4 linked regions of the Schizosaccharomyces pombe genome follow. The protein of the gene in region 1 purifies or fractionates together with the protein of each later gene. This does not show direct contact. Each region holds a gene or a part of one and is shown in the gene's direction. Other genes may lie near its edges. The genes, in order: mts4, rpn1302, rpn11 and rpn501.

What was found.
Region 2: the proteins of mts4 (region 1) and rpn1302 purify together in Schizosaccharomyces pombe (affinity purification with western blotting, with the first as the bait; one study listed by BioGRID). This does not show direct contact.
Region 3: the proteins of mts4 (region 1) and rpn11 purify together in Schizosaccharomyces pombe (affinity purification with western blotting; 4 studies listed by BioGRID, with this or other methods). This does not show direct contact.
Region 4: the proteins of mts4 (region 1) and rpn501 purify together in Schizosaccharomyces pombe (affinity purification with western blotting; 3 studies listed by BioGRID). This does not show direct contact.

Annotation. Positions count from the first base shown.
Region 1 is NC_003423.3:2,850,611-2,856,153, reverse strand, and holds mts4 (19S proteasome regulatory subunit Rpn1/Mts4), read left to right. Parts: upstream 1-2,051; 5' UTR 2,052-2,101; coding exon 2,102-2,239; exon of another isoform or gene 2,240-2,286; coding exon 2,287-4,824; 3' UTR 4,825-5,033; downstream 5,034-5,543. Other genes in the region: morphogenesis protein Mor2, read left to right, coding at 1-1,504. UniProt on the Schizosaccharomyces pombe protein: Acts as a regulatory subunit of the 26 proteasome which is involved in the ATP-dependent degradation of ubiquitinated proteins.
Region 2 is NC_003421.2:897,047-901,219, reverse strand, and holds rpn1302 (19S proteasome regulatory subunit rpn1302), read left to right. Parts: upstream 1-2,000; 5' UTR 2,001-2,064; coding exon 2,065-2,195; exon of another isoform or gene 2,196-2,198; intron 2,199-2,318; exon of another isoform or gene 2,319-2,392; coding exon 2,393-2,477; exon of another isoform or gene 2,478-2,587; coding exon 2,588-3,538; 3' UTR 3,539-3,612; downstream 3,613-4,173. Other genes in the region: mcm4 (MCM complex subunit Mcm4/Cdc21), read right to left, coding at 1-818. UniProt on the Schizosaccharomyces pombe protein: Component of the 26S proteasome, a multiprotein complex involved in the ATP-dependent degradation of ubiquitinated proteins.
Region 3 is NC_003424.3:3,008,627-3,012,807, forward strand, and holds rpn11 (19S proteasome regulatory subunit, ubiquitin-specific protease subunit Rpn11), read left to right. Parts: upstream 1-2,019; 5' UTR 2,020-2,352; coding exon 2,353-3,279; 3' UTR 3,280-3,681; downstream 3,682-4,181. Other genes in the region: RNA polymerase III-inhibiting protein Maf1, read right to left, coding at 1-169, 534-632, 686-691; SPOM_SPAC31G5.21 (FAM32A family protein), read left to right, coding at 1,461-1,817; glycine decarboxylase T subunit gcv1, read left to right, coding at 3,967-4,181. UniProt on the Schizosaccharomyces pombe protein: Acts as a regulatory subunit of the 26 proteasome which is involved in the ATP-dependent degradation of ubiquitinated proteins.
Region 4 is NC_003424.3:1,264,559-1,268,282, forward strand, and holds rpn501 (19S proteasome regulatory subunit Rpn501), read left to right. Parts: upstream 1-1,710; coding exon 1,711-1,794; intron 1,795-1,841; coding exon 1,842-3,089; 3' UTR 3,090-3,222; downstream 3,223-3,724. Other genes in the region: chaperonin-containing T-complex epsilon subunit Cct5, read right to left, coding at 1-984; rsm22-cox11 tandem protein cox1101, read right to left, coding at 3,347-3,724. UniProt on the Schizosaccharomyces pombe protein: Acts as a regulatory subunit of the 26S proteasome which is involved in the ATP-dependent degradation of ubiquitinated proteins. Required for proper proteasome assembly.

The DNA of each region.
Region 1 (5,543 bases):
GGAGACATTTCCCCAAAACTGGGTTGGAGATTACCAAGGTCTTCAGATTTTAATATTAAAAGGTTTCCGTTCAACTAATTCTTTTGAAATTACCATGAATTTTTTCCTTTTGCTGATGGATTTCAAGGATAATGATTTGGTTGGCGTTGGTTATTTGAGGATACTATCCTGCTTGTTGGTGTCATTACCAGCGATGGTATATACATACGAGCATTCAGATCCTATTACTTTTGATTTAAGTGTTTTCTGTCATAAATTAGCTACTCTTGCTTCACAATTTAACGATGATGCATTGATTGAGCTTCTTGACACATATCTCAAACGTAAATTCAGGTCAATTAAGGATTTTTTAAAACATACGGTTTCATACCTATACTCCTATTATTTTGAAGATTACGAGCTAGAAATTGTTAGTACTCTTACGATGTTTCTATCAAATAATTTGACTTGGTTTAGAAAGTCTACGTTAGATGTGTTAAAAGAACTCTTTCCATTAATTGATTTCCAAAAACCTATATATTCCGAACATGGATTAGGTATTGTTTCACCGCTTCTTCGACTCTTACCTACTGGTTATGCAATGGAAGCGTTGTCTTTGCTAACCGACTCAGTGCTTCATGTATCTGCTCCCACAGATATGCAAACCTTAAAGTTATTAATGGTTGACCCTAAATTAAAAAATTCAGATGATCGTCTGGCTGGATTTTTTGAAATACCTGACGAGGATGGATGGTATGAACCAAACTCTGAATATGCAGCTGCTATAACTAAAAGCAACGTACATGCCGTATTTTATAGCTGTTCCACTACCGAGGCTTCTGTGAGTACGCCAGAGGTTAGATTTCATGCTGATGAAGTATCCAATTATCCGCGACACGTTCCTACTGACAGTCATGGTTCGCTTGACGAAAATTCACTAGGAGAGCTAGTTACAACTCTTCATAGCCTCGATGTCTTCTTCGCTGAAGATAGGGATGAAGAGTTAATTCAGCCTGATGTCGCCGTTGATCCAAAATTAGATATTACATCGGAAGATTATGACGATCGGATAGCTACGATTCTTTCAGGTAGCCTTAGACGGCAGAAACAAGGTCTTATGGCTTATGAAACAGAATCCTTCAGAGATTATTCACCGAACGAAGAAATTGATGCATCAGCAAAATTGCCGATGGACATGCCGCCGGTGAGAGTAAGAAAGTCGTCTTTTATCTCTAAATTAAAACCTCATTACTTTATGGATGCTGAATCTTATTATCCTTCTTTAAAGGCACTTGGTAATTCGGCGGAACATCGTTTATCTTTGGACGAAATACGAGGTGCAGCAGAATTGAAACAAAATAAAAATTGGAATTCCATGTTAGATCAATCTGTTTCTATGATTAATGAAGATTCAGTGGAAGACCATGAAACTCATGAAAATTATTATCATTTACGTACAATGTTTCAAGGAAGTGAAAGCAATGAATCTTTTACTGATACAACTCGATCCCGCGGTTGGCATTGAATTTGCCTATACTGGTTTAGTATACTTATACAAGCTTTTATGGTGTTCATGTGTGTAAGATGGAAAATTAGTCGGCAACGTTTATGGATGTACTATATAAAACTATTCGTTTGTTTTCATTATTTTATCATTTGCATTTTTTTGTTAATTTAAACTCGAAAATTCTTTGACCATTACAGCCTTTAATTTTAGAATTCAAAATCTTAGAGCGTGTCATGTTATTAAAAATCAAGCTATAACTATGGTAATTAGGTGTAGTGATATAAATCGGTTTCATATGTCCGTATTTAAACAAATGAAAACATAAAGAGTCAATCAATAACGAGTTATTTTACAACAATTCTTATAAGAAAAGAGGCATGAGATAATAATGTCAAGCATCGTGTAATAATGGTAATACATTGACGAACTTAAATAATAGATTATTTTTTCATTTGTACTGATCCATAAAGAAAGCATAGCGTGTTGTTAAATCTAATTAACGTGATAAATAATCAAATACGTAAACAATCGGTATACTGGTTCTGACTAGGGTGAGAGTAGTTTCAACGACAACACATTACTACTCAGTTTCAGAAAATCTTAGGAATCTAGAAAATGAGTTCTAAAGACATTAGTTCGAAGTCCCCGAGTGGTAATGATGCATTAAATGACAAAAAAGGGACAAAGACTTCAGAAACTAATGACAGAAACTCAACGAACAATACCAAAGAAAGGGATGAATTAGAGGATTTAGTAAGTTAAAGCCCTATTATTTTTCAAAATGAAAACTAACCAAATAGTCTGAAGAAGATTTACAATTAAAAAATGATTTGGAATTATTAGTTCAAGCTGTTCAAGATGCCACCCCTGAGTTGGTGGGTTCCAGTCTCACTCAGCTTAAAGAAATAATTCGTACTTCTACCTCCTCTATGACGGCCGTTCCAAAGCCTTTGAAGTTTCTTAGACCACATTATTTTACTCTCGTTAAAATCTATGATTCCTGGCCGCAAAGCCCTCAGAAGACTCAACTTGCTGATATCCTTTCAGTATTAGGAATGTCCTATAGTAATACAAGCAAACATGAATCATTAAAATATCGTCTTCAGGGCGTTACCACTGATCCTTCTTTATGGGGTCATGAGTATGTTCGCCATTTGGCTTCCGAAATAGAAGAAGAGTTTGCCAGTCGCCAGGAAGAGGAAGCGCCAACCGACGATCTTATGGAACTTGCATTGACCATTGTTCCATTCTTCCTTACTCATAATGCTGAGGCTGATGCTATTGATTTATTACAAGAATTGGGTGCTATTGAAAAAGTTGTACCCTTCGTAGAACTTGATAATGCTTCTCGCGTTTGTCTTTATATTACCAGTTGCGTTAATCTTTTGCCATTTCCTGAAGATGTCGCCATGTTAAGAACAGCGCATGCTATTTATCGGAAGTTTGACCAGCTTACACAAGCACTTAACGTTGCTATCCGCCTTGATGATATGTCTTTGATAAAAGAAGACTGTGAAGCTGCTACGGATCCCTTGTTGAAAAAGCAAATGTCTTACATGCTTGCTCGTCAGCAAATACCTATGGATATGGGAGACGAGGAGTTAAACGATGCTTTAAATAACACTCATTTATCTGATCACTTTCATTATCTAGGAAAGGAGTTGAACCTTATGGATCCTAAAGTTCCGGAAGATATCTTTAAAACACATTTAGAAGTGGCTAGGACTGGATTGGGTGCATCAGGAGTGTATTCCGCCAAACAAAATTTAGCTAACACTTTTGTCAATGCCCTTGTCAATGCCGGATACAGTAACGACAGATTAATTTTGGTCGATGACGAAAAAACGTCTTGGATTTATAAAAATAAAGAATCTGGTTTAATAAGTGCTACAGCTTCTATTGGCCTATTACAATTATGGAATGTTGACATGGGATTGTCTTTGTTGGATAAGTATTTATACTCTTCTGAGGAGAATACCAAGGCTGGTGCATTGTTGGGAATTGGTGTTACAAATGTTGCAGTAAGAAATGAAGCTGATCCAGCTATGGCAATTCTTTCTGAATACCTTGAAACTGGCTCCGTAAAGCTTCGTGCATCAGCGATTTTAGGTTTAGGACTTGCATACAGTGGAGCTAATCGCGAAGATTTACTCGACATGTTATCTCCAATTGTTACGGATACCGATTGCCCTATGCAATTATCCTGCTTAGCCGCATTATCTTTAGGTCTTATTTTTGTTGGTACTTGCAACGGCGATGTAGCTAGCACAATTTTACAAACTCTAATGGAGCGTGAAGAGTCTGCCCAAAATGATCAATGGGGCCGTTTTATGGCTCTTGGCCTTGCCCTTCTTTTTAATGGTAAACAAGACCTTGCGGATGCTACAGTCGAAACACTGAAAGCTATTGAGGGTAAAATTGCACGACAAGCTGAAATTTTGGTGGATATTTGCTCGTATGCTGGAACTGGCAACGTTCTTCACATCCAAAAATTGCTTCATATCTGTAGTGAACCTCCCAGTGATGATGCTAAGGAGAGTGAGACTACTATCCAGACATTTGCAGCACTTGGTGTTGCTACTATAGCTATGGGTGAAGATATTGGAGCAGAAATGGTTTTGAGACATTTCGATCACATGATGCATTATGGCGAACCCTCTATTCGAAAAGCTATACCACTTGCATTAGGATTGCTTTCCGCTTCCAATCCTCAAATGCGTATATTTGACACGCTTTCACGCTATAGTCACGATAATGATTTGGATGTTGCTTACAACGCAATCTTTGCAATGGGTCTTGTTGGTGCTGGTACTAGTAATGCGCGTTTGGCTCAATTACTCCGCCAACTAGCCAGTTATTATCACAAAGAATCCAACGCTCTATTCATGGTTCGTATCGCTCAAGGTTTACTTTACTTAGGAAAAGGAACAATGACGCTTAACCCTTATCATACAGAACGGCAGATTCTTGGTCAAACTGCTTTTGCTGGTCTTATGACTGTTGTATTAGCTATGCTAGATGCAAATACCTTTGTCCTTGATACCTCGCATTGGTTGCTTTATGCTATTACGTTAGCAATACGACCCCGAATGCTCATTACCCTTGGTGAGGACGGTCAATATTTACCAGTAAGCGTTCGAGTTGGTCAAGCAGTAGATGTGGTCGGTCAAGCTGGTCGTCCCAAGGTCATTACGGGTTGGGTCACACATACTACACCAGTTTTGTTGCATCACAATGAGCGAGCTGAACTAGCGACGGAAGCATATACACCTTTGACTTCGTTGGAAGGTATTGTTATTTTAAAAAAAAATACGGAGGACATTGAAATGACCGCTTAAATGACTTGAAGTTAAATGACTACAATTTTTATGTACTAATGCTTGATTTCCAGTTCTTTGCTATTAATAAAACAAACTGGATTGTTGAAATTCAGCGCCCGATACATTTATTTTTCTATTTCGATTATGTTAAATTCGTATTTTTTAGATTAGAAATGTTCTAGTATTGTTCTAAATTGAAGTAGCGGAAAGTATATATACATGATTGCAAATTTGTAATTAGGATTATAATTTCTGTTTCTTTTTTTTTGTATTTGTCGCGTTACCAAAAGGTAATAGAACGTCCACTGCAGAAACGTCTTGTTGGATAAAAATTGCCCGAACTAAGGAGCTACCATTTCTTAGTAAAAAAAATTTAGACCTGCGTTGGAGCTTAATGCAATTATCAAAGAATGAATTTTAATCATCTTCTGATAATCCGACAAAGGAGTTGACTGCTTTGCGACGCATCCCTTATGTCACGTTTCTACTACTGTTTCAATACCTAACCATTACATTAAAGGTAAAACTGCACATTAGATACTTCGCATTTAGGGAATAACGGTGAATAGCTTTATTTAATTTCAAATATTATCTTGAATTGTTATTATGTTTCATCATATGCAGTCCCAAAGTCTGCTCATCGTTAATTCATTTCCACAGGTAAGTTGTGCATTCATTTCGTTATGTGAAAAAATGGAATGACGCTCGTATTTGAATTGATAGAAATGTCATATATG
Region 2 (4,173 bases), on another chromosome or scaffold:
ATGTCATTAAGAACATCTTCGGGAGGATTAGTTCCTAACAAGTCTAGCATAACGTCTTTAATGGTTTGATCCATGATAGGAATGATTTCTTGAGGGTATGAGTAAAGCTGGTGATATAGCTTCTTGGTTGGGGGATAATGCTTTAAATCCTGAACATCAAGATTTAATATTTCCAAACCCATAATACGCATGTTTCGTAGCGCTTCAATATACACTAGTTGTTCGGCATCAGGAGGTGGCATAAGTTCATTTCTGTATTCAGGTCGATACTTTTTCTTAAACCCACGTAGAAATCCACGAAAGGAAGCGATACTTTCTTGAATAGATACATTTGTTCCCCAAATGACACGGACAGTGTCATCAGCTACTTCACTGCTTGGGTGCGCCTGACTAAACGTGAGTGCATCTGACCCAGAAAACAACAAGCTACTAGGAGTGCTTACCCCGGGACGTTGAGGGTCAACTTCTCTTCGACGAGATGGGGTAGACATTTGCACGCTAGAATGGATGTCTCCACGTCTTGTCGAGCGCGGTGTTCTCTGCGAACTACTGTCAAGGAACAAGTCATTACGCTGAGATAAAAGATGAGAACGTGAACTCTGAGGAATGTTTGGACCTGGTGAACTAGATTCAAACAGTAAAGGAGAGGAAGCGAGAGGTGTACGCGCTGTAGTCCTCGGTGTTGTAAGGCGTGTAGAACCAGGAGACGAAGCAGGAAAAAATAACGGAGAAGAATCCACTGCTTCTCTTGAAGAGCTGTTAGCTCTTCCAGGAGTCCTCAACTCATTGGCTCTGCCACTTTGCTGACTAGAGGACATGACTCGTGGTGGGTGTAGAAAGACAGTGTAAGGGAGTAGAGTAACTACTCATAAACATACAACAATGAAGAGATAAATAGCATAGCAAAGATTTAAATAATTGGAAATTTGTATAATTTTTTAACAATTTGTCATATTCTCCATTGATCATCAAGCTACCAGTAATTGACTATGAAAATGTAAACTAAAAAACTTTGCGACACTAGATATTAGGATCAATTAAAGCAAATTTGTTATCATAAATAAGGTATTATGAATTTGTTATTGACTTACTTCCTTTTAAGTGATATTCTATTTTTTTGGACGAATGAAGAGAAATATGAAAAGAATGTTGAAATAAAGGATTACATTGCTTTAATTAAACGTTATGCTAGTTTAACATTTTGAGATGATCGTTTTTGCAATTTGGAACTACCAGTTGTATTTGAAGGTCGAATCTATTAACTGTGATTTGACGCTAATTGAAGAGGGCAGATGGTGATTTAGTAATTTTACTAATAATATTTCTTAAAATAAGGTTTATTTTGAATTTTCTCTCATATTGAATACCTGAGTTGTTATTATATTAACCATTTGTAGAGTTCATTTGACCATTCGACTACTGGACTGTCTCTAATAAAAAAAACTTAAGTCTGTATATTATGAGTTATATGGTGTGAATTTCAAATAGTGTATGAATGTATTTTTCTATTATTTCTAGTGAAATACCATTGTGTAGGACGCATACTTTTTCTCGATTATGTTTTGCTCTTCAAAACCTGAAAGGATTATAGACATTTATTGTATCTTGATTTTCTTCTATGTATAATTGGTGAAAACTGGTTTATTCTGTTTTACTATTGATGCCATTAACGATGATACAAAAATTGGCTTATGTCTTTTCAAGGCCCTTTAAGAGATGAATTCCACTGCATAGTGGAACGTTCCTTTTCCTTTTAAAGTGTAGTATTAATTTGCTATTAAAACATCTTTTTAGGCGAAACCATCAAATGCGGCTTGATAAATCAGCTTCAAATATTAGAGCAGTTAACCACCTAAAAAGATTGTCTATTACATGATAAAAGATGATTATAGTGGCGACAATTAGAAAATTAAATGATTTTGAGAAATCATGTCTATAGACATGATACGTTTGTGTGGATTACTTTGCTCACTTGCACTGTGTACACTGCATACTCAACTATACCACAACAATTCACAAGGTCAATAATCGTGAGCTTTTGAGTTGACAAAAAATAAATTACAAATGGAATCAGTTTTTGGAAGAGTAAGAAACGAGACTAGCGAGAGAGGAAAGTATGGATTAGTCTCCGTAAAAGCTGGAAAACTTCAAAGAAAGCCAGGAACGAATATTCTGCAAGCTGATCACCGAAAAGGGTATGTACTATAATAATAATATAGATAGTAGTCCTTTCTACTGGGAAAACGAAATTCTACCCAAAGAATTGTTTATGAAGCTTCTTTGCATGTTTACGTTGGAAGGATGCGTGAAAATCCACACTGTTGGGTTTTGTGGAATTGTTTTCTGTTTATAAAGTTAAAAGATCTGATTTTTAATACTGACATTTGTTTAGAGTTATCTATATGCAAATGGCTTCTGATGAATTATTGCATTTCTATTGGAAAGAAAGGGCCAGGGTTTCTAGAGAAGTAGAAGATGTATGAAGACAATTTAAATCAATTGCAAAGTATACCTATTTATATATATAAATTTACTTTTGCGTTTTTTTTTTTTTAATTTGGTTTATGTTTACTAACATATAATGAAGGACTACATCATATTTCCAGAAGAAGCAGAGTTTATCAAAATTGATGAATGTACCACGGGACGCGTATATGCACTAAAATTTAAATCCTCTTCGCAGATTCATTTTTACTGGATGCAGGAGTATAGTGATGAAAAAGACAAGGAAACAGCTTCCTTAATCAATCAATTAATTGCTGACCCTGTGAATACGACTCGGACTATCAACTCACATAATAATTCTAGCAGTAGAGGTACGGATGATTCATCAACCAGCCAACTGCTGCAACTGTTTGGTGCAGCAAGCCAAGATGCTCTGCAAGACTTTAACTGGGAAGTTTTATCACCTACAGCCGAAGCACCGGCTATCCTGCCAAGATTTCCTAACGTTAACGAGTCAGCAAACATGTATCGTGCGTCAAGTGAGTCGAATTTGAATGGACCACATGCTACAGCTGGTGAGAATGGCGAAGATCACGAGGAGGCAACGGCCTCCCCTTTGGATGAAAACATCGATTATACTCATTCACGTACGTTGGAATTATTAGAGCAACTTCAGCCCTTGATTTTGAATGAAACGACGTTTGTCGAGCCTTTCTCCATTGACAGAGAATCTCATCGTGTGATTACACATCCTAGAGTGTATCCCAAGATTTTCCCACATTCTCCTTCCGACCTTTTGCGCATCAGCGGTCGTGCAGAGTTGAGCGAAAATCGAGATTTTTTTAAGCACTTGTCGAGTTTAATGGAGGCAGTTGCAAAACCCGAGTCAGAGTCGTTGCGTGAAATTTGCAACTTGAGTTTAGAGCAAGTGCAAAGTGCTAGTGGAGCTGAATTATTTTTGCATGCGTTGTACGACCGTTTGGTGAATGAAGGGGTGATTGTGATTTCGCACATAACACAAGAAGGTTCTGATGGCGAAGTTGAGGAGGAAGGAGATGTTGAAATGAGAGAAAGTAACGAAAAGGACGAATAAGAAGCGTGGAGAGGAAAAGACGAATTCGTATATATATATTTTAATATATGTTATGTTTATGAACAACAAGCTAGCACAAAGAACGTGATGTAATTGTAAAAGTAGAGTAATCGTATTTCAACATTTAAGCTTCCTTTTTTTTTTTTTTTTGTTTATTTGTTGTTGACGGGAGAGGATTGTTGCAAAGTACTTGTAGGGGTATAACAGCTTGTATAGGGAATGGTTTCACCTTTCTCGTTTATCTGATATTCTTCCAAATTTACAATGAATTATATATCAATTGCATTAAGCTACATATCGCAATATCATTAAGAATTCAAGAAATACTTCTCTTGCGTGAAAGAAGTCTTTAAGCTGCTTGAACATAAATCAAAAAAAAAATAAATTTATTAACTAAATATAGAGTTACTAGTACCCCATTAATCATGACTGAGCAGAACTTATCGCCAGGAGCCTTTGAGCTCACTGTGAAAGCATCGCATTCTAGTGTTGCCTTAAACTACATACTGCATAATTACAATTTCTCAATCAAACATATCGATGACTATGCGCAACTTCTTAAACCATATACCGATTGCATTTTCTTATTTTAAATCAATATACAGCTTCGTACTCTCACACTAAAACTACATACC
Region 3 (4,181 bases), on another chromosome or scaffold:
CAATGTACATAAAGGTACGACGAGAAGAGGACTGATCAAGAGGCCCAAATGGACTTTGCTGAGTTAGGCTGAAAGCATATTCCGGTGATTTACTACTCGATAATGCAAATAGATCCTCCTGACACCGATTCTCTATAGCTTTAAAGAGTTTCTTGTCAGAATTTGTACTCTATAAAATTGTTAGCACATTTTATATATCAGTATATTCATGTCTTGGTAAGTTAATAAAGCAGAATGCTCCCGAATCTAAAAACAGACACTCAGACGCGGTACTCCATTTGGTAAACAACAATCGTAATCATTTTGGTTTCAGATTTGAAACGTAAAGAAACTAAATAAATAATCACAAAAAAAAACAATGATTATATAATTAGCTGATCTTGTACAAGAGACCAAAAAGAACCAAAATTGTTCAACTTAGTGATTTGACCACGCAAGAAAAGAGGATCATTATTAAAAGCATATGTCAAATTCAAGAACCAATGTACAATTTTCCCTTTACCAGACTAACCAAGCTTACAAGTTAAATTTACCTTGGTTGTATAGAGCTCGCACTTTCCGCGTATGCGACAATCATCGGCATCAAATGATAAGGCATTATTGACTGTATCTAAATCGGCAAGCTCAAGAAACTGGTCACAAAAACAGGGTTTAGTAAGACAAATAAAAAGTAAAATATATTTACCTTCATAGTAATTGTAATGTAATCAATTCAATTGTTTCCTTTCATTAAAAAGAGGTTTGCTGTGGTTAGGTATCAGCGTCGCGTCCAACGTCAATGTCACTTCTATTAAGGGTACGTTAATCTTAAATAACAGACTATAAGCTAATAGTAAGCGTAAGGAGTTTGTTAGATGTCGGTTCAACATTTTACCGAAGCTTAATATATTTGAGAAACCATCCCGATGCATTGCCATTTATTTTTTTATGCTGTTTTAAGGTACTTAACCGTATAATGTGTTAAAGTCCAAGTCGAAATGCATTTATTTATTCATAAAAATAAATATTTTAAGTAATTAAAAGGAGTCTAATAAAAACAAATCAGTTTAAAAATATCGATTATAAGTTTTTCCGTATTTTTCTGATGAGCATTGAGTAACTCAATTTTTCAATATTCAATTTTTTCTACAATTCTTAAAAGAAACGGTTCAAGTATCATTATTAACCAAAAAAAAAGTAATAATAATTTATTTAATGAATAATCGTCGCTTCTAGAGTATACTTGTACAATGAAATTGTACATATATATACATATTTTTTTTAAATTGAGCCCATTAATAAACTTGCACAACATACATCAATTCTTTTATTGTATTACTTATTACACTTTTACTATTAAATTATATTTATTTTATTTTATTTTTAAATTCAATTCCTAGTGTAAAATGTATTAAACTGTTTCACCTCTTATCGTACAGTTCAAACATTTTGCTTACACCAACTTACCTTTACCAAGAACTATGGACTACGTTGGTGGTTCTCTAAAACTGAAAAATGTAAAAAAAAAACCTTTGAAAAAGAAAAAGAAGGATTCTAAAAAACTTGCTGAAAAAGTTCAAGAGCATTCTTCCCGAGATAAATCACCTTTAGAAGAAAATGGCGTATCTACGTACCAAATGCTTCGCTCAAAGGATACAGACTCGGCTATGCCGATGACGGAAGCACAGAAACATTTTGAGTCTGTTCAGGAACAAAGATTACTTCAGAAAGCAAAGAATGAGCGATTGAAAACACATAAAGACAGGATTGATGAGTATAATAGACTACTGGAAAGTCAGTCGGAGCATTTTGACATGCCTAAAATTGGACCCGGCTAGTTTTCAAAACACGTCCTTTTTTCTCTCAATAGCTATACTTAAATAGCAATGGATGCCTCCTCTATTCTGCATAGTTTTTCTCCATCCACCTACCATATTCTTTTATGAATTACGCACTCTAATGAAATCACTATTTTATTTTAACAATACGCATTATACCTCATTATTGTTATAGCTATTCATTTGTCTCTAGAAAAAACCTGTTTATAGCCAACTACCACGTAAACGTATACTAGCTGCCTAAGTGAGACCAAAGACATAGAATCTTGTATATTCGTTTTGTATAGTGGTTGAAACATATAGAAAGAACTTCCTTTGAAGAACAAGCACATTATAGTGACCTTTGATTGTTTTTGTCGTCTTACTAAATATCAGTGAACAGCATTAACGTTTTGGTAACTTTATTTAAATACTTATACTGAGTTTCTCATTTAATCTCCAATTACACTTTTATTTGCGGTTATTTGAGAGGAACCCCACTGATACTGATAAACTCTCATATTTCAATACATACATACGAGTCATATTTTTCGCGATGGAATCTTTACAAAGATTGTTACAAGGTGCCCGCATGGGTACTGGTATGATGGGAGATCAGCCTCTTGTTGATAATTCCGAGTGTGTATACATTTCATCTCTAGCTTTGTTAAAAATGCTTCGTCATGGGCGACATGGTACACCAATGGAAGTTATGGGTTTGATGTTAGGAGAATTCGTTGATGACTTTACAGTACGTGTTGTTGATGTTTTTGCAATGCCTCAATCTGGTACAGGTGTCAGTGTAGAAGCAGTCGATCCAGTTTTCCAAAAAAATATGATGGATATGCTTAAGCAAACAGGACGGCCAGAAATGGTTGTAGGTTGGTATCATTCTCACCCGGGTTTTGGTTGTTGGCTTTCTAGTGTCGATATCAACACCCAACAATCATTTGAGCAATTAACACCAAGAGCGGTGGCAGTTGTTGTCGACCCTATTCAATCTGTCAAAGGAAAGGTGGTAATTGACGCCTTTCGATTGATTAATCCGTCTACCCTAATGATGGGTCAGGAACCCAGACAAACAACTTCCAATTTGGGTCACATCAACAAACCTAGCATTCAAGCTTTAATTCACGGTTTAGGAAGACATTACTACTCCCTTCGCATCAATTACAAAAAAACTGAGCTTGAAGAGATCATGCTTTTGAATTTACACAAACAGCCTTGGGCACATGGTCTTTTACTTGAAAACTTTAATTCTGCTGCGGAAAAAAATCATGCTTCTATTGATAAGATGAAATCCTTGTCAGAACAGTACACTGAACGTGTTCAAAATGAAGTGACTTTAAGTCCGGAGCAACTTCGTATTCAATACGTTGGTAAACAAGATCCCAAGAAGCATCTTGACGCTGAGGTTCAGAAATGTATAGACAACAATATTTCTTCCATGTTAGCTTGTATGCTTGATTCCGTTGCCTTCTAGTACATCTATTTTGGTAATACCTCTTTTCCATCATCCGTTTTTTATGAGCTACTTTCTTTCCTTACTCAAAGCATTTATGAACTGTTTGAATAATCCTGTTGGTCGAATCTGATACTACTTTTTTACGATTTCATATTCGTGACTAGGAGTACATTTTTTTTAAAACTTTTTACATGATCGTGGAGTATGATTGATGATATTTTGGTAAGCTCTTGAGATTGCGAGCGTTTGCTTTGATGGATTCTTATATATTTTTTTTCATAGATCCTTAAGATATACCTGCACACCAGTCTTTCAAGCTTCTTCCCAATAAGAAAAAATTGTTTCAATTATTGAATTTGTAAACATCTTCTACCAACATGTTAAAAATTTTGTTTCCTTGATTGTTTGTAATGTACCTGTAAGGATCGTCGATCAGCGTCAAACCATTGAAGTTGAATACATAAAGGTATAACTGAGGCTACTTAATTTATTATATGACATTTTAGCGTGATATGATTTTTTGATGTAGCATGATATTGTACTTGTCAAGTATTCCTATCTATCTTTCAACCTTTGCCAACCACTAACGTATGTTGGTTTACGGAATCAACAAACAATTGTTTATTAAGAAGTTTAACAAGGTTTCTTTTTTATTTTCAACGTTTAAGACTTGCTCCAATATTTAACTGGTTTTTTGAATTCATAATGAATAGATCTGCTGCTTTATCAATCTTAAAGCGCCAAAGTTCTACGGCAGCTTCTTCTTCACTCAAGAGAACTCCTTTATATGATCTGCATTTAAAAGAAGGAGCTACCATAGTCCCCTTTGCTGGTTTTTCAATGCCAGTACAGTATAAAGGTCAAACCATTAGTGCCAGTCATAAGTGGACACGGGAGCATTCTGGCTTATTTGATGTAAG
Region 4 (3,724 bases), on another chromosome or scaffold:
TCCCACCCAACGTACAGCCGGTAAATTATTTTGAAGAAGTAGATGGTTTGCTTCATCATCAAAACCCCATTGACATATAACAAGGTTAGCTCCTGCGTCCTTTACATGCTTAATCATTTCCTGAAATTTTTCCTTCTCATAAGCTTGAAGGGCTTCAAATTCACTCACTGATGTTATGTCCAACTTATGCTTAGTTTTTGGCTTTGGTGGTTCAAAAGGGCAGGTTAAAATAGCAATCTTTGCATTTTCAATACGATGAGGCATTTGTGGATGCGACATGTCTTTGTCCACCACAACACCCTTTACAAGCTTTGTATCATCCACTGAACCACCAACCTTGCCATCTACTTTAATGAGTTCAAAATCAACATCTTTTCTCTGCAAATCAGCAACAGAAAGGACCGCGTCCACAGCAATGTTTGCAAAGTGATCATGAGCTTTGGAAACCACTTTACTACCCAAACTAGTCTTAGCAGAACGAAATAAATTAGTAGTGTTTTCGGGACTAAAGTCGACAACATCTGAAATAGCATCTAAATGTTTAACAGCCACCTGGCATGCCTTTTCGTAACCATCTGCAATCCTTATAGGATGTATACCTTTGTCTATAAGTGCCTCGGCCTGCTCCAGTAATGCACCTGCTAGTACAACAACACCAGTAGTTCCATCCCCAATTTCATCATCTTGAGATTTAGACAACTGAACTAACAGCTTTGCAATTTGATGTTCAACCTCCATTTGGTCGAGGATTGTAGCACCGTCATTGGTAACCGTAATCTCTCCATCTGGAGAGATTAAAATTTTATCCAGTCCACGGGGACCCAAAGAAGTACGCACAATATTAGCAACTGTTTTGGTAGCTAATATGTGACTTTTTACAGCATCAATTCCATGCAATCTTCTCTTCTTTTCCTGGTCACGTACTAAAATGAAAGGATTTCCTTGATCGTCACGGACCATAACAGCGTTATCTAGACCGGCCATTTTGCTCATCTTGTTATTGTGAACTGTCGATGCAAATGAATTTCAAGTGATAAAACTGAACGCTACACTAACCCAAATCCTTGAAATACTTTTGAACGATTTCACAAAGAACCTTATCTCTTACTTCCCTTTAAATCGTTGAAATAACTTGAGGTTCAAGCTTAGGGTGTATTCTTTAGAATGTCGTTGAAAGCACGTCTAATATGTTGCGGCCCTTCAGCATTTTACGAACTTCTATAGAAGAAATAAGCACTATATTTCACTAATGTAAGCTACGCAGTTTGGTATCTGATTTAAGGATACGTAGAACTGCGGTGAGTTTTCCTTGTGGTCTATTATATTACAATACACAGGTTGTATAAGTAGCAACTGAGTATAGGTATTGTATTAACTGAGTTATAATGTTACCTATCACTAATATAGCTCATAACTGAACTGAGGAACGAGGTTCAGTTGTAACGCTATTTATAATATTTCTAAATAGTTGTTATCAACGGGTATCTATGTATATAGACGGATAGTTACCCGTGATTATCAATAAACGGATCTTAGCTAGTATTCCAACATATGACATATAGTGATACGCAACGTAGTGTATCATAGCGTAGTGTACTATTGCTGACAACTAAAGTATTTTGCGAGCGTGCGTTACAACTCTGTAATCATAAGAAATCAACTCGCAATATTAGTCTCAATTGTACACTCTCCAACAACCCACATATCGAAATGGAACAGAAACCGGAAGTTGATTACTCAGAGAAGTTTGCAGAGTTACAAAAAAGTTTAAATAACCTTAATACCATAGACATCGTACGTAAAAATCAAAATTTTGACTAATCTCTAACTTGTAATTGTAGGATGCGAACCTCGAGAAGCTTTTGATTTTTGAGAAGCAAGTTCGTCAGGCTTCTGACACCAGCACGAATACGAAAGTATTAATATACATTGCTGATTTGCTCTTTCGAGCTGGTGATTTCCAAGGCTTAAACGAACAGTTGGTTAGTCTCTTTAAAAAGCATGGCCAACTGAAACAATCGATGACAAGTTTAGTCCAACATGTAATGACCTATCTTCCTGGAATTGACGATTTAAAAACAAAAATTAATTTGATTGAAACATTGCGTACTATTACTGATGGAAAGATATATGTGGAAGTAGAAAGGGCACGTCTTACACAACTGCTTTCCCAGATTAAAGAAGAGCAAGGTGACATCAAATCTGCCCAGGAGATCTTGTGTAATGAACCAGTAGAGACTTACGGATCTTTTGATTTGAAGGAAAAAGTTGCATTCATTTTGGATCAAGTTAGATTATTCTTACTGAGGTCTGATTACTACATGGCATCTACTTACACGAAGAAAATAAATGTTAAGTTTTTTGAAAAGGAAGACGTCCAGTCTTTAAAACTTAAGTATTATGAGCAAAAAATCCGAATTGGTTTGCACGACGATGCATATCTTGATGTTTGTAAATATTATCGAGCAGTTTATGACACCGCCGTGGTTCAAGAGGACCCCGAGAAATGGAAAGAAATATTAGAAAATGTCGTTTGCTTTGCCTTGCTTACTCCTTATGATAACGAGCAGGCAGATCTTCTTCACCGAATTAATGCTGACCATAAACTAAATTCTCTTCCTTTACTCCAACAATTGGTTAAGTGCTTTATTGTCAATGAACTAATGAGATGGCCCAAAATTGCCGAAATCTATGGAAGTGCTTTAAGGAGTAATCCTGTTTTTGCTGAAAATGATGAAAAAGGTGAGAAACGTTGGTCTGAACTTCGTAAGCGAGTCATCGAACACAATATTCGTGTAGTCGCAAACTATTATTCCCGCATTCATTGCAGTCGTCTAGGAGTGTTGTTGGATATGAGTCCTTCCGAAACAGAACAATTTCTTTGCGATCTTATTGCAAAGCATCATTTCTATGCCAAGATTGATCGCCCAGCTCAAGTCATTTCATTCAAGAAATCTCAAAATGTGCAAGAGCAATTGAATGAGTGGGGTTCCAATATTACTGAACTTCTTGGAAAATTGGAAAAGGTAAGACAGCTTATTATAAAAGAAGAAATGATGAATTCTATTCAACAGGCGGTAGCCAAATAAATTGTTCCGTCTCTATTTCATTTCGTTACTTTCATGACTTTGTCATTTAAATAATATACTATTGGTTCAAAGGCCTTCAACTTTTTTTACGAGAATACAATAGTTTTAATGTCGAATTGCAACCTCGGAGAAAGTTATTCTAGTAAGTTTGTAGTGATTTTCGTTGTTATTTGTCTCGTAACTAGAAGGTTAACTTGATGAATTATTTTAAATAAATTATTGTAGTTCACTCAATATGTAGTCCCTTAATTTTTATTTCAGTTGAGTTTAGTTAAAAGATTGCCATTGGTATCATATCTGGCCTCAAAAAAAGTATAGCTTAGAAGAATATCGTCAATATCCTTCATATTTGGATCATCAGCAAATTCTGGATCTATAAAGAAAAACACAGGCAAGTCTACTTTTTCATGAGCATCTAGCTTTTGCTCTTCAAAGCAAAAGCATGCAACCTTTGAGAAGTAAACAGCGGCTTGACCTGGTACTATATTATAAGTTGCAACTCCTACTATGTCATGGTCGGACGTATTTTCAGCAGTATAAAACCCTAGAGCAGTCTCGCCTGGAAGAACATATATTTCACGCTGCTGGGGCCAAAGCTTCCAGCTAAGGTTTCCTGCAACGTCGCCATTGAAAGT